Linked DNA regions of Macaca fascicularis. The protein of the gene in region 2 interacts with the protein of the main gene of each other region in a pairwise test. Links are inferred from orthologs where the notes say so. Each region holds a gene or a part of one and is shown on either strand. Other genes may lie near its edges.

Region 1 (6,039 bases), on a different chromosome or scaffold from region 2:
TATTTATTTTAAGAGAAAAATACAACCAGTGCATCAAACTTGTGACTTCACAGATGTTATTGCTTAGGATAATTTACTATTTAAGTTTTCTTTCTTTCTTTTTTTTTTTTTTTTGGTTGCCCAGGCTGGAGTGCAATGGCGTGATCTTGGCTCACTGCACTCCGCCCCCAGGTTCAAGCGATTCTCCTGCCTCAGCCTCCCAAGTAGCTGGGATTACAGGCACCTGCCACCATGCCTGGCTAATTTTGTATTTTTAGGAGAGATGGGATTTTACCATGTTGGTCAGGCTGGTCTCAAACTCCTGACCTCAGGTGATCCGCCCGCCTCAGCCTCCCAGAGTGCTGGGATTACAGGCGTGAGCCACCGCGCCCGACCTCTCCAGCCTCGCGAGTTGAGATTTGGAGGAAGATCTGGGGGCCTCTACTTAAGTTTTCAAAACTAGTTTGTGCACACTTAAAAGTAATTCATTTCATTGTACGTAAATTTGAACTCAAAAGAGAAGAAAGCATTAAAATATTGAACTCTACTTAATATACATGCTGAAATGTCTTGGGATGAAGTACAACGATGTCCGCAACCTGCCTTGAAATGCACCAAGAGGCTGGGCATGGTGGCTCACGCCTGTAATCCCAGCACTCTGGGAGGCTGAGGCGGGTGGATCACCTGAGGTCAAGAGTTTGAGACCAGCCTGACCAACATGGAGAAACCTCGTCTCTACTAAAAAAATACAAAAATTAGCCGGGCACGGTGGCGGGCGCCTGTAATCCCAGCTACTTGGGAGGCTGAGGCAGGAGAATTGCTTGAACCTGGGAGGCGGAGGCTGCAGGGAGCTGAGCACACCATTGCACTCCAGCCTGGGTGACAGAGTAAGACTCCATTAAAAAAAAAAAAATGGCCGGGCGAGGTGGCTCAAGCCTGTAATCCCAGCACTTTGGGAGGCCGAGACGGGTGGATCACAAGGTCAGGATCGAGACCATCCTGGCTAACACAGTGAAACCCCGTCTCTACTAAAAAATACAAAAAACTAGCCGGGCGAGCTGGCGGGCGCCTGTGGTCCCAGATACTCGGGAGGCTGAGGCAGGAGAATGGCGTGAACCCGGGAGGCGGAGCTTGCAGTGAGCTGAGATCAGGCCACTGCACTCCAGCCTGGGCGACAGAGCGAGACTCCGTCTCAAAAAAAAAAAAAAAAAAAAAATGCATCGAGAAATAAGGTGATGGATGATGGATAGAAGGATGAATAGATTATACTTAATAAAGCAAATATCGTGTAAGTGCTGTAAAATTGATAGTGTAAAATATATGTTTATGTAAATATGTAAAATATACATAAATAAAATTGTCGAATCTAGGTGGAGGCATTGCATATTCAGTGTGCCATTCTTTCAACTTTTGTATATGTGTAAATTTTCATAATAAAATATTGGAAAAGAAAAATAGGCCAGGTGTGGTGGCTCACGCCTGTAATCCTAGCACTTTTGGAGGCCGAGGCGGGCGGATCACAAGGCCAGGAGTTCAAGACCAGCCTGGCCAACATGGTGAAACCCCGTCTCTACTAAAAATAAAAAAATTAGCCAGGCTTGGTGGTGCGCGCCTGTAATCCCAGCTACTCAGGAGGCTGAGGCAGGAGAATCGCTTGAACCTGGGAGGTAGAGGTTGCAGCAAGCCAAGATCGTGCCACTGCACTCCAGCCTGGACGACAGGGCGAGACTCCATCTCAATAAAATAAAATAAAATAGTACTTTGATTTCAAGAAAAATATTAATAAGTAGACAATAGCACACGTGGTAGAATGAATTGGCAAAAATCATGAAGGTGATGGTGAATGATCAACCCGCTGGCAAACGGGGACTGAGTCTAAGTACTTTGGACAGGATCAGAAGAAGGTTCTGGGAATGTGCGGCCCCAGGAGAAAAGCCTCAGGTAAAGAAGACGGTCAGGTGGAACCCGCTAAGCCCTGGAGGCAGAGCCTGAAGAGCAGTGGGGAAGTCTCACCTTTGAGATCAAGACAGCTCATCAATTCCCGAACCCATGGGTCCTTACTGCCCCCACACACGCTCCAGGAAGGCAACTGGAACCTGCGGAGGAGAGACCTGGGCTCAGCTGCGGCTCCTCCTTTCCTTCCTCATTCCAAAGGCGTTAAGTCGCTACCAAGAGCCCTTTCTGCTGGGACTGGGAAATTCCCCGGTAGGTGCTACGGAGTCATGAAATTTCGGGGAATGGGAGCAAACAGAACCCGGAGATCGGGCTAGGTGCGCCGGGAAGGAGTTCAGGTTTGACCAGAGAGGGTCCTGGACGCACCTGGCAAGGAGGGGCCGCGCAGGCGCTCGCAGAGGCAGGTGAAATTACCTGATGTAGTGTAGACAGTGATGGTAAGCTCTCAGGTGTTTCCGGAGACGATTCATGAACTGAGCCGATGGCGGGGAGTCAGAAGAAATTCTTTTACTACAATGACAGCTTCCAGTGACGGTGCCCTCGTTGCCATTGCCTGAGCAGGACAGAGGTGGTCAGCACGCGTTCCCAGGCCTAGGGTCCCCACTCCGCTGTTCCCTGGCCTCCAATCCACAGCTCCATGACAGCCTCTCCCGTGGACCCAGGGTCAGAGCGCCAGGCTCACCCCACACATTATCACGACCCCCACAACATCCATAATCCCGCCCGGAGCCAGGTGTCCCGGGGCCTCTGTCCCCAACCCCAAGCGGCTGGCTGGCTTTCCTCTTGTCCCCGCTGCCTTCATCAACTCAACTCCGTGGGCCTCATGTCCCCTCCCCAAATCACCCCCTTCCCATGACTGGGGAATCTGGGTCCCCTGTCCCGCCCCCGGCTAACCTGGCGGAGGCAGGCACGCCAGCAGGAGCAGGAGCAGGAGCGCGCGGGCCCCGGGCACCAAGGCCTGTCCCATGTCGGGGCTCCGCGGAGTCTGCGGGGATGGAGCCGCCGCGCTCTGACTCCCAGACAGGCTCCGGCGCATGACGTCCAGCTGGTTTCTCAATGGCTTTCGCCAAGGACTGGAGGAGACGGCGGCCGTCGACGCCAGGTCGCGGCCGGAGAGGAGGCGCGAGCCAGCTGCAGCCCCCGGCCCCGCTGCGCCCCGATCGTGCGCTCAGTACCCGGCCCGCGCCGTGCCAGCCTCTGGCCACAGGGAAAACTCGGGAGGAGGAGCTCCCGCGCCCTGCGCCCCCGCACTGGGCCCGAGCTCCGTGGATGGACGGCCAGGAATCTTGGAAGAAACCGAAAGAAAACTCGGGCGGCGGGCGAGGAGGGGCGGGAGGACGGCGTCCCGAGGAGCCGATTCGGTTCGGTTCAGGAGGCCACCCGCCTCGCCCGCCCCGAGCGCCCGCGGACCTGTGAGGCGGCCGCACGGCCGGACCGGCCCTCGTCCTCCAAGGCACTTTCACTTCCCCGCTCCCGGCGCCGCGGGACCCAGCCGCGCTATATGAGCCTCCCGGGCGGCCCGGTGGAGGGAGTCGCCGCCAGCCCCGGCCGCGCGCACCTGCGGGGCCACCACCCGCGGACGCACCGAGCCCGGGGGCGTGGCCGCCCGCTCAGCCGGCGAGGGCTCGGGCAGCCCTGACGTCACGACCGCACCCGCGCACCCTCCACCCCGAGGTATTTACCTTCGAAAAGTGGTGGCGGCTGCAGGTACCGGAGGATTGGGGTGGTCGGGAGGGGCTAGGTCTACCGGGGCTGCCCGTCACGCCGATCCGAGCGCAGGGAACACCCTCGCTCCCACTCCCATACCCGACGGACACGTCCAAAATGCTTCCCTCCCCACCAAACCCTTCCCGATAGGATTAGCCCTCTCTCCTCTCTAGCCTTAATTTAAACTCTGCTTTTGAGGGTCTGAACTCTCCAATGTTAAGCCCCAAATACCATCTCATCCCTGAGTAGTCTTCTCCAACTCTGGTCACCCACTTTCAAGTCCAGCCCCCATTTTCCTCCCTGAACTCCCATCCTCAGCCCTGAAAACCCTCTTCTCAGCTCCTAGCATATTCGTGGATCCAATCCTAAGTGACTCTCAAACCTACCCTCTCCCCCAAATTTGTGACCTAGCCCCAAACTCCATCGTTGCTCTCCTGTCCCTCACCATATATCCCTTCTTTTGCTCAGTCTGGGCCGGGGCCCTGTGCGCCTGAAGACATGGAGTTTGTGTCTGGATACCGGGATGAGTTCCTTGATTTCGCTGCCCTTCTCTTCGGCTGGTTCCGAAAGTTTGTGGCAGAGCGTGGAGCTGTAGGGACTAGCCTTGAGGGCCGCTGGTGGCAGCTGGAGGCCCAGATCAGAAGGCTGCCCCAGGACCCTGCGCTTTGGGTGCTCCATGTCCTGCCCAACCGTAGTGTGGGCATCAGCCTGGGGCAAGGGGCAGAGCCAGGTCCTGGACCAGGCCTGGGGTCTGCCCGGCTCCTGGGAGATGACCCTCCACTCCACCTGCGAGACCTGAGCCCCTACGTCAGCTTTGTCAGCCTAGAGGACGGGGAGGAAGGGGAGGAGGAAGAGGAGGAAGATGAAGAAGAAGAGAAGAGAGAGGAAGGGGGTGCAGGCACAGAGAAGGTGGAACCAGAGGAGGACCGGGAGCTAGCTCCTAGCAGCAGGGAGTCCCCGCAGGAAACAAACCCTCCAGGAGAGTCAGAGGAGGCTGACCGGGAGGCAGGAGGTGGCAAAGATGGCTGCCGAGAGGACAGGGTGGAGAATGAAACAAGACCCCAGAAGACCAAGGGACAGAGGAGTGGTAAGAACCCAGGGCTGGCCCTGCCCTACCTCTTGCCCAGCCATCCTCCCTTCAGAAGCCCTCCCCTGCCACTAGTTCTGAGTGCTGGCCTTCAGGCCAATCTGGCCTGAAAAGGTGTTTTTATTGACCCACAGTGGGTTTTGTTTTTTTTTAATTTAATGTTTAAACATTACGAGAAAAAAAATATCCAGAAGTCTGGATTTACACATTCCCAAGAAAAATCTCAAGCTCTGACAGGGGGCCTACATTTGTGCATGGCAGCGCGTTCTGGTCCTCTGTAGCAGCTGTCCCCTTTAGAAGGAGTGTGTGCTCTCTACCCAGTGCCCTTTACTCGGTGAGGTTACTTGCCTAGCCCCTGTAGGTATCTGAGTTTGCTACTCCTGACCCTGACCACATGTCTCTCGCTGTCCCCTACCACCTCAACTTTTCCCTCTTTCCCCAGAGGCTGCCCCCCTGCACCTTTCCTGTCTGTTGCTTGTGACGGATGAGCATGGCACCATCTTGGGCATTGATCTGCTAGTGGATGGAGCCCAGGGAACTGCCAGCTGGGGCTCAGGGACTGAGAACCTGGCTCCTCGGGCCTATGCTCTCCTCTGTCATAGCATGGCCTGTCCCATGGGCTCTGGGGACCCCCGAAAGCCCCAACAGCTTACTGTGGGAGATGCCCGGCTGCATCGGTATAGAAATCTGGTATCTGAGGCTGGGGAGGGCTGGGGCCCTGGATTCCCAAGCACCCCCGCCAGCCTGATTCCGTCTTCCCCCCTATTTAGAGAGCTGGAGAGCTTGGTCCCAAGGCTAGGTGTGAAGTTAGCCAAGACCCCAATGCGGACATGGGGTCCCCGGCCAGGCTTCACCTTTGCTTCCCTTCGCGCTCGAACCTGCCACGTGTGTCACAGGCACAGCTTTGAAGTGAAGTTGACACCCTGGTGAGCAGCCCAAAAGCTGCGGGGAGAGGAAGATCCCAACAGTCAGGCAAATAGAAAGAAAGCAGGGTGGTGGGGGCGCCTAGCAGACAGAAGGAGGGGCAGGGACATGAGAAGATGCAGATGAAACAATACAGGCTATTACAGGCAGTTAGAGGGTGTAAGACAAACAGACCGAGGGACATATGGGCAGCTGCTGGGCAGATGGACAGCAGACAGGGCCCACAGAGGTTAACACTAGGTGCCCACCACCCACTGTGTCCTCAGCCCCCAGTGTAGTGCTGTCTTGTATTGTGGCGAGGCTTGTCTCCGGGCTGACTGGCGGCGGTGCCCAGATGATGTGAGCCACCGATTTTGGTGCCCAAGGCTTGCAACCTTCATGGATCGGGC
Region 2 (5,794 bases):
TGTACCTTCTGCCCCTTCTAACTGTTGCCCCTTGGGCCCATCTGCCTTGTTTTACCCTTCCCTTTACCTACCCTGCTCCCACTAGTAACAGTGCAATAGGCATTCTCATAGTGCCCCCTTATGCTTCGCTTCTCAAACAGGGTGCAATGTATCACCTGGGAATCTTGTTAAAATGCAGGCTCTTGGCCAGGCACGGTGGCTCATGCCTGTAATCCCAGCACTTTGGGAGGCTGAGGCGGGTGGATCACCTGAGGTCAGGAGTTCGAGACCAGTCTGGCACCAACGTGGTGAAACCCCGTCTCTACTAAAAATACAAAAATTAGTCAGACTCGGTGGCAGGCGCCTGTAATCCCAGCTACTTGGGAGGCTGAGGCAGGAGAATTGCTTGAACCTGGGAGGTGGAGTGCAGTGAGCTGAGATTGTACCACTGCACTCCAGCCTGGACAACAAAGCAAGACTCTGTCTTAAAAAAAAAAAAAAAAAAATTGCAGGCTCTGATTCAGCCGGTCTGCAGCAGGGCCTGAGACTGTATTTCTAACCAGCTTCCAGGTGATGCCTATGTTGCTGATTCTGGGACTACATTTTGAGAAGCAAGGCCCTTATAGACCTCTGTGAAAATGCATTCTGGGATTCTGGGTCCTAGGGTATATGCTGATCCAATGTGATGAGTATTGCCCATCTGCTCTCCAGTCTGGCTGCACCTCCTTACCCCATACCAGCTGGGCAGAAGGGTAAAAGGTATATATTCTGCGGGGAAAGGAAGAAGGTCTTCTCCTTGCTGCTGCCCACATCCCATCCACCAGTGCATCTGGTCAGGGCCCAAGACTCCTCTCCCTCTTCATTGGAATGGACCCAAGGCTCCAGAGCAATGTCTCTGGCTAGCAATGCATGGCCAAGTCAATGATGGATCTAGGCCAGGCAACCTGGTCTCCGCCCTCACCACATGGGATCCTGAATCCTCAGCCCGCCAGACATCTAGATTGGTTTGACTCATAACCTCCCTAGGCTTGGGCTTTAGCTCTGATAGGAGCTCTTGAGAAGCCATGGGGTCTTCAGTTAGTCAGGTTGTTTGTGTTTCCTTTGCCCCCTTCACCTTCTCTTGAGTAGCCTGGTAGGACTCAGATGGCCTGGCCTTGCCACTGGCAAATGGCTATCCTGGGCCTGACTTCTCATCTCTAAAATGGGATGGTCACAGCATAGCTATAATTTGTGGTGCTAGGAGCGGTCCCAGGTCCTTCACTCACATGCCAGAACCCTAAGACAGGAGTTCTTGCTTAGTTTTATCCATGAGGAAAGTGAAGTTGAGGAAGGTTTAGCAATTTCCACTAAGGGCATGGAGCTAGTAAGTGAGAGTGCTAGTATTCAAGCCCAGCCTCAGCTCATACACCAAAACCCATCTAACCATGAGACTATGTCAGCCCCATGTCCTACCTTGCTCTCGCTACCAGGCCATAATGCAGGGAGAAATACAAAGAAACAGAAAGGAAGGACTGGACCTTGGGTTTTGGCACTGATGCTGAAGGCATGTAATCAGTGGCATGGAGGGTTGCAAAACTCTAAGGCAAAAATGAACCAGGGTTCTAGGGACCAACCCCAAGGCCCTGAGTATTTATGGGGCAAGAGAAGAGGACCTTGGGTCTGGGGTTTCAAGAGCAAGGATTTTAGGGTTATATATAAAGCAGGGATCAGAACTGGGCAGGAGTTGGGGATGGCCAGGGATTGGGTGGGGGTCAGGTGTGGATAAAGTTGTCTATCATGTAGCTTACTTGGTAATAACTCAATGTTTTGTTGGAGGGGCCAGCAAGTGAACGAATGGCCAGCATTCAGGGCATCAAAGGATTGCCCTTTCCAAAGCCCTTCTGGTGCCTGAGCGGCTTGCTGGGTCAGTTTTGGAAACCCTGGGACTGTGCTTTCCCCACTTACACAGCTGTGCAAGCATCTCCTGGCACCCAGCCCCAGGCCCAAGCATTTCATAATCAAAATAGTTCAACATGTGCACATTTTGAGATTTCATGGCACATGACCTTTTATATCTTGTCCACACTTAACCAACCTCTTGTTTACCATTTTAGGGCCAAAATTCTAACCAGGACAGAGAGTTGATCTGAAAGCCCAGAGAAGCATCCTGTTCCTTCAACAGTCTTTGGGGTCAAAAGATCTTTTGAGCCTACCGAATGTTCTTAGAGGTGAAAACAACATCTTACAGGTTTTTGGTTTTGACAAAATGCTTCACAAATAGATATTGTCTTTGACTCACAACAACCCCATGACAGAAGTGGCCCACCTAACATTGAGACTCAAATGAATTAATTGGCCAAGGCCACACATTGTGTAAGTGGGTGAAATGAGACTTCTTGATCATTTTCCCATAACAGACCTTGGGATTCTTAGAGAGTGAGTAGGTACTGTCTGACCCCAGTTGGCCCATTTCTCAGACTTGGGGATGCGGACTGAGGCAGGAAGTAGGAAGTCTAGGGAGGAGGATGCCTGGGCTGCAAGGTTTGGAGGCGAGGGAGTTGAGGTCTCCTGGCTTCTGGCCAGCCTTCTCCCTGATAGATTTTTGTCACTGGGACCCTCTCTAGAGTCTGTGGTTCTCCTGGAAATGAAAAAAGGGAATTGCTGGGAGGAATGGCAAGGCCAGGGGTGCCCAGGTAGAAGTTTTCAGTGAGTCTGAAGCTGAGACAGCTGAGTGACTGTGAAAAAAAGATGCTGTCAGTTGCCAAGAGGGCCCCACGGGTATCATCACATCCATATGGGCACTGTCAGTGGCTTGGTCAAGCTCTGCCCCTGGCTAAGCAATTTCCACCAATGGCTAAGCCATCTGTTCTGCCCGCTCTTCTCAAAGGCCCCAGCCCCTCACACCAGGAACCTGCAGCATTGACTTGAGGAAGGAGTCCGGGGTCAGGCCAGTCTACCTGTTCGGGACTGGGGGTCTGGGGCCTGCCAAGGCAGGGGGCCCTTATCCCATTGCCCTCCCTCTCCCCACAGGGTCTCAGGCCCTAGGCCAGGGCTCAACAGACACAGGCAGTGGGATGGGGTTGCCCTTCTATTGATCCAAATCCTGAGTGTAGCCTGGGTGAGTCATGGAGGTGAGGAGGCCCACGAGGCTTAGCAGTGTGGAGAAGAGCAGCAGGAAGGAGGCCGTGAAGAGGAGGGCAGGCAGGGCACTGAGCACCAGCAGCAGGAGAGCCGGTAGCAGGTGGCGCCACACGGCGGCCACGACGGGCCACAAGGAGCTCAGTAGGTAGGAGCCAGTGGTGAAGAGTGCATGGCACAGCATCAGTGCCAGCAGCAGGTAGAGTATCCCCTCCAGACCCCACAGCAGGCGCTGCAGCGGTTGCCGCCAGTTCGAGGTGCTCCACCACTGGATCCAGCTCGGGGGCACGTGGCTCACCCACCAGCGTACCCAGCCATGCCTTGTGACCCAGGCTGACCAGGGCACTGCCTGCTGTGGCCCCTCGCCAGCCCCGATGGTATCTGTCTCCACTCGCGGCTGCTGCATCACGGCTGGTGCACCTGGGGAGAGGGCCAGGGCCTTGGAGATGCCTGGGACCTCGGGGCGGGGGGCAGAGAGGGGGTACAGGGGTCAGGAGGGCACCAGTGTGGGTGGGGTGGGGCAACAGAGTTGGGGTCTGGGACTTACCTCTGGGCAGTTACCTAAGTCATGTTGCTTCCTGCAGCACCCAGGACGGCCTGGCAGGCAAATCCAAGTCCCCACTCTCATCTACCCCCACCCTTCCCAGAGGAGCCCCTTTGTGACCCGGGCTGGGGTGGGGTCCAGCCAAGAGAGGAGTCACTGCAGGGTGTGAGGCCCACCCGAGTCCCTCTGCACAGACCCTCCAGGCTGGCAGGGGAGCCTCAGAGCCCCGCAGATGTAGTTTCTCATGCTTTCTCATGGGAAGCCCTCCCTGGATCCCCGTCCCTTCCCTGCTTTCCCTGCTGGCTGATACCCACCCCTTTCCACCCTGCTCTCCTGCAAGTCTTTCTGTCTGGACGTTCATTCTCTAGAGCCACAGAGGAGGTCAGAGTGACTGCCCCCAACCCACAGGCTCTGAGATGGCTGCCACATTCTTCCCCAGGCTCCCTGGCTTGTATCCTGCCTTCTCTGGCGGCCCCAAGACTCAGACCCGGGTATCTGATACCTATATTATAGGACTGGAGGCCCTGTGAGGTTCAGGCTGGGAAGAAAGGGGTATTGTCCCACCTGCCCAGCCAGGAAGGAGAAAAGGGGGCATGAGGAAGCAGGGTGGCCATTGTATATTTGAAGGACACTGAGTTGTGCGGAGGGGCTCTCAGGCCCAAGGATGGAGACAGAAAGCCAGGCCAAGCAGGGTCAAGGGCATGCCGCAGGCTCTCAGAAGCGGGCCCAGCCCCATGAGCAGCAGCAGCAGCGCGTCCTGGAGGCTAAGTTGTCCTGAGACTCTCCCCATTTGCAAGAGTAGAGCCTCCTGCTGTCCTGGACCCTCACCGGCCCCCTGACTCTGGCCCCTCGTGAGAAGTTTGTGCTGTGGCAGAGTGCGACCTGCGGGCCTGTGGAGAGAGAGAGGGTGGCAGCTGGGTTTAGGGAAGTTGTCCACTGGCCTGCCCGCCTACAATGCCCACCTGCCAGGCTGTTGCCCACTTACCTATGGAGCAGGTCAAAGGCGAGGAAGCTGACCAGAAGCAGCAGCAGGGCTGGGCCAGTTGTGGAAAAGACTGCCCGGATTGTCAGCCCTAGTGCCCCCAGCCCTAGGACACTGTCCAGGAGCTGGGCCCAGTTAGGGCCCCAGGAGGACACACGTGGATGCACTGGACTACCCAACCCCTCCCCAGCACCCAGGCCCCTAGGAGGAACTGGGATCGGATCCTCAAGGGCTTCGGGTCTGGGTAAGCAGAGCCGGGTCATGGAGGGAGGTGGAGGTGACAGGAAGAACTAGTGCTGAAAAAGATTACAGGAATGGGAGTTGGGGAAGGGGTAGGGCCCTGGCAGATACAAGGGTGAGCTCGGAGTGGCGAATTAGGTTCCTGCAGAGTCTCCCCCTCCCCCATACTCACCCACCAAACCCTCCTCACTTCCTCCCACTTTGGTCAGCATTCTGGGACTGGGCACCTGGGGCATTGTGACTTGTTGCCAGGTGGGGCCGTGGGGTAGGGAGGGGGCTGCTGCTGCTGCTCTAGCCTCATAAGCAGCTGGTGGCCTAGGTGGGGCTTAGCTGGGAAGTCAGGGATTTCTGAGAACTAAGACTCATCCTCTTGCCTTTGCTAATTCTCTGCCCTAGGGCCCTCCCTTGGGGATCTGAGTTGTCAGGAAGGCATTCTAACCCCATTACTATTTGGGCATCTGTCCAAGGGAGCAAGGTCTGCTTTCTTCTTCCTGTGAGTTTGCAGAGCTGCATGTCCAGGGGCAAGTCATTCAATATCTCTGTCCCCAGCTATCTTCCCTGTGGGTCCTTCTGGGGGATTTTTCAGGCCTGCAGTTCCAGATTGCAGAGATGGGCTCTGCCAGGAGACTGCCTGAGGCTTCTGGGGCGGGGCTGTCATATAACCTGCTAAATGGGGGTGGGAGAGGAGGGGGCTGTTCAGGTGTTCTAAGCACTACAGTTTATAGTGGGTATTATGCATACTGGGTTTCCAGTAATGAGGTAGAGGACATGAATTTAAGAGGACTATGACCTAGTAACCCACATATTAGAGGTTAAGGTTACACTCAGAATGGAGTTATATGAACTTATAACTGAGAATGGAGTTATATGAATGGAAAATGAACATATAATGAAGGGGTTAGTCACCTCGATTATCAGTATATCATATTACA

What was found. The genes of interacting proteins can lie anywhere in the genome.
Region 1: the proteins of TMEM239 (region 2) and CXCL16 interact in a two-hybrid assay, tested with the Homo sapiens proteins (2 studies listed by BioGRID). The two-hybrid records come from large-scale screens. The link is inferred for Macaca fascicularis from reciprocal best matches to the Homo sapiens genes TMEM239 and CXCL16.

What each region holds. Positions count from the first base shown.
Region 1 is NC_088390.1:4,833,410-4,839,448, forward strand, and holds the start of CXCL16 (C-X-C motif chemokine 16), read right to left. Parts: upstream 3,519-6,039; 5' UTR 2,969-3,518; coding exon 2,827-2,968; intron 2,486-2,826; coding exon 2,347-2,485; intron 2,076-2,346; coding exon 1,993-2,075; intron 1-1,992. Other genes in the region: ZMYND15 (zinc finger MYND domain-containing protein 15), read left to right, coding at 4,138-4,726, 5,169-5,652, 5,917-6,039. UniProt on the Homo sapiens protein: Acts as a scavenger receptor on macrophages, which specifically binds to OxLDL (oxidized low density lipoprotein), suggesting that it may be involved in pathophysiology such as atherogenesis. Induces a strong chemotactic response. Induces calcium mobilization.
Region 2 is NC_088384.1:84,489,566-84,495,359, forward strand, and holds the start of TMEM239 (transmembrane protein 239), read right to left. Parts: upstream 3,758-5,794; 5' UTR 3,725-3,757; coding exon 3,644-3,724; intron 3,554-3,643; coding exon 3,047-3,553; 3' UTR 1-3,046. Other genes in the region: C10H20orf141 (uncharacterized protein C20orf141 homolog), read right to left, coding at 4,293-4,530, 4,626-4,885.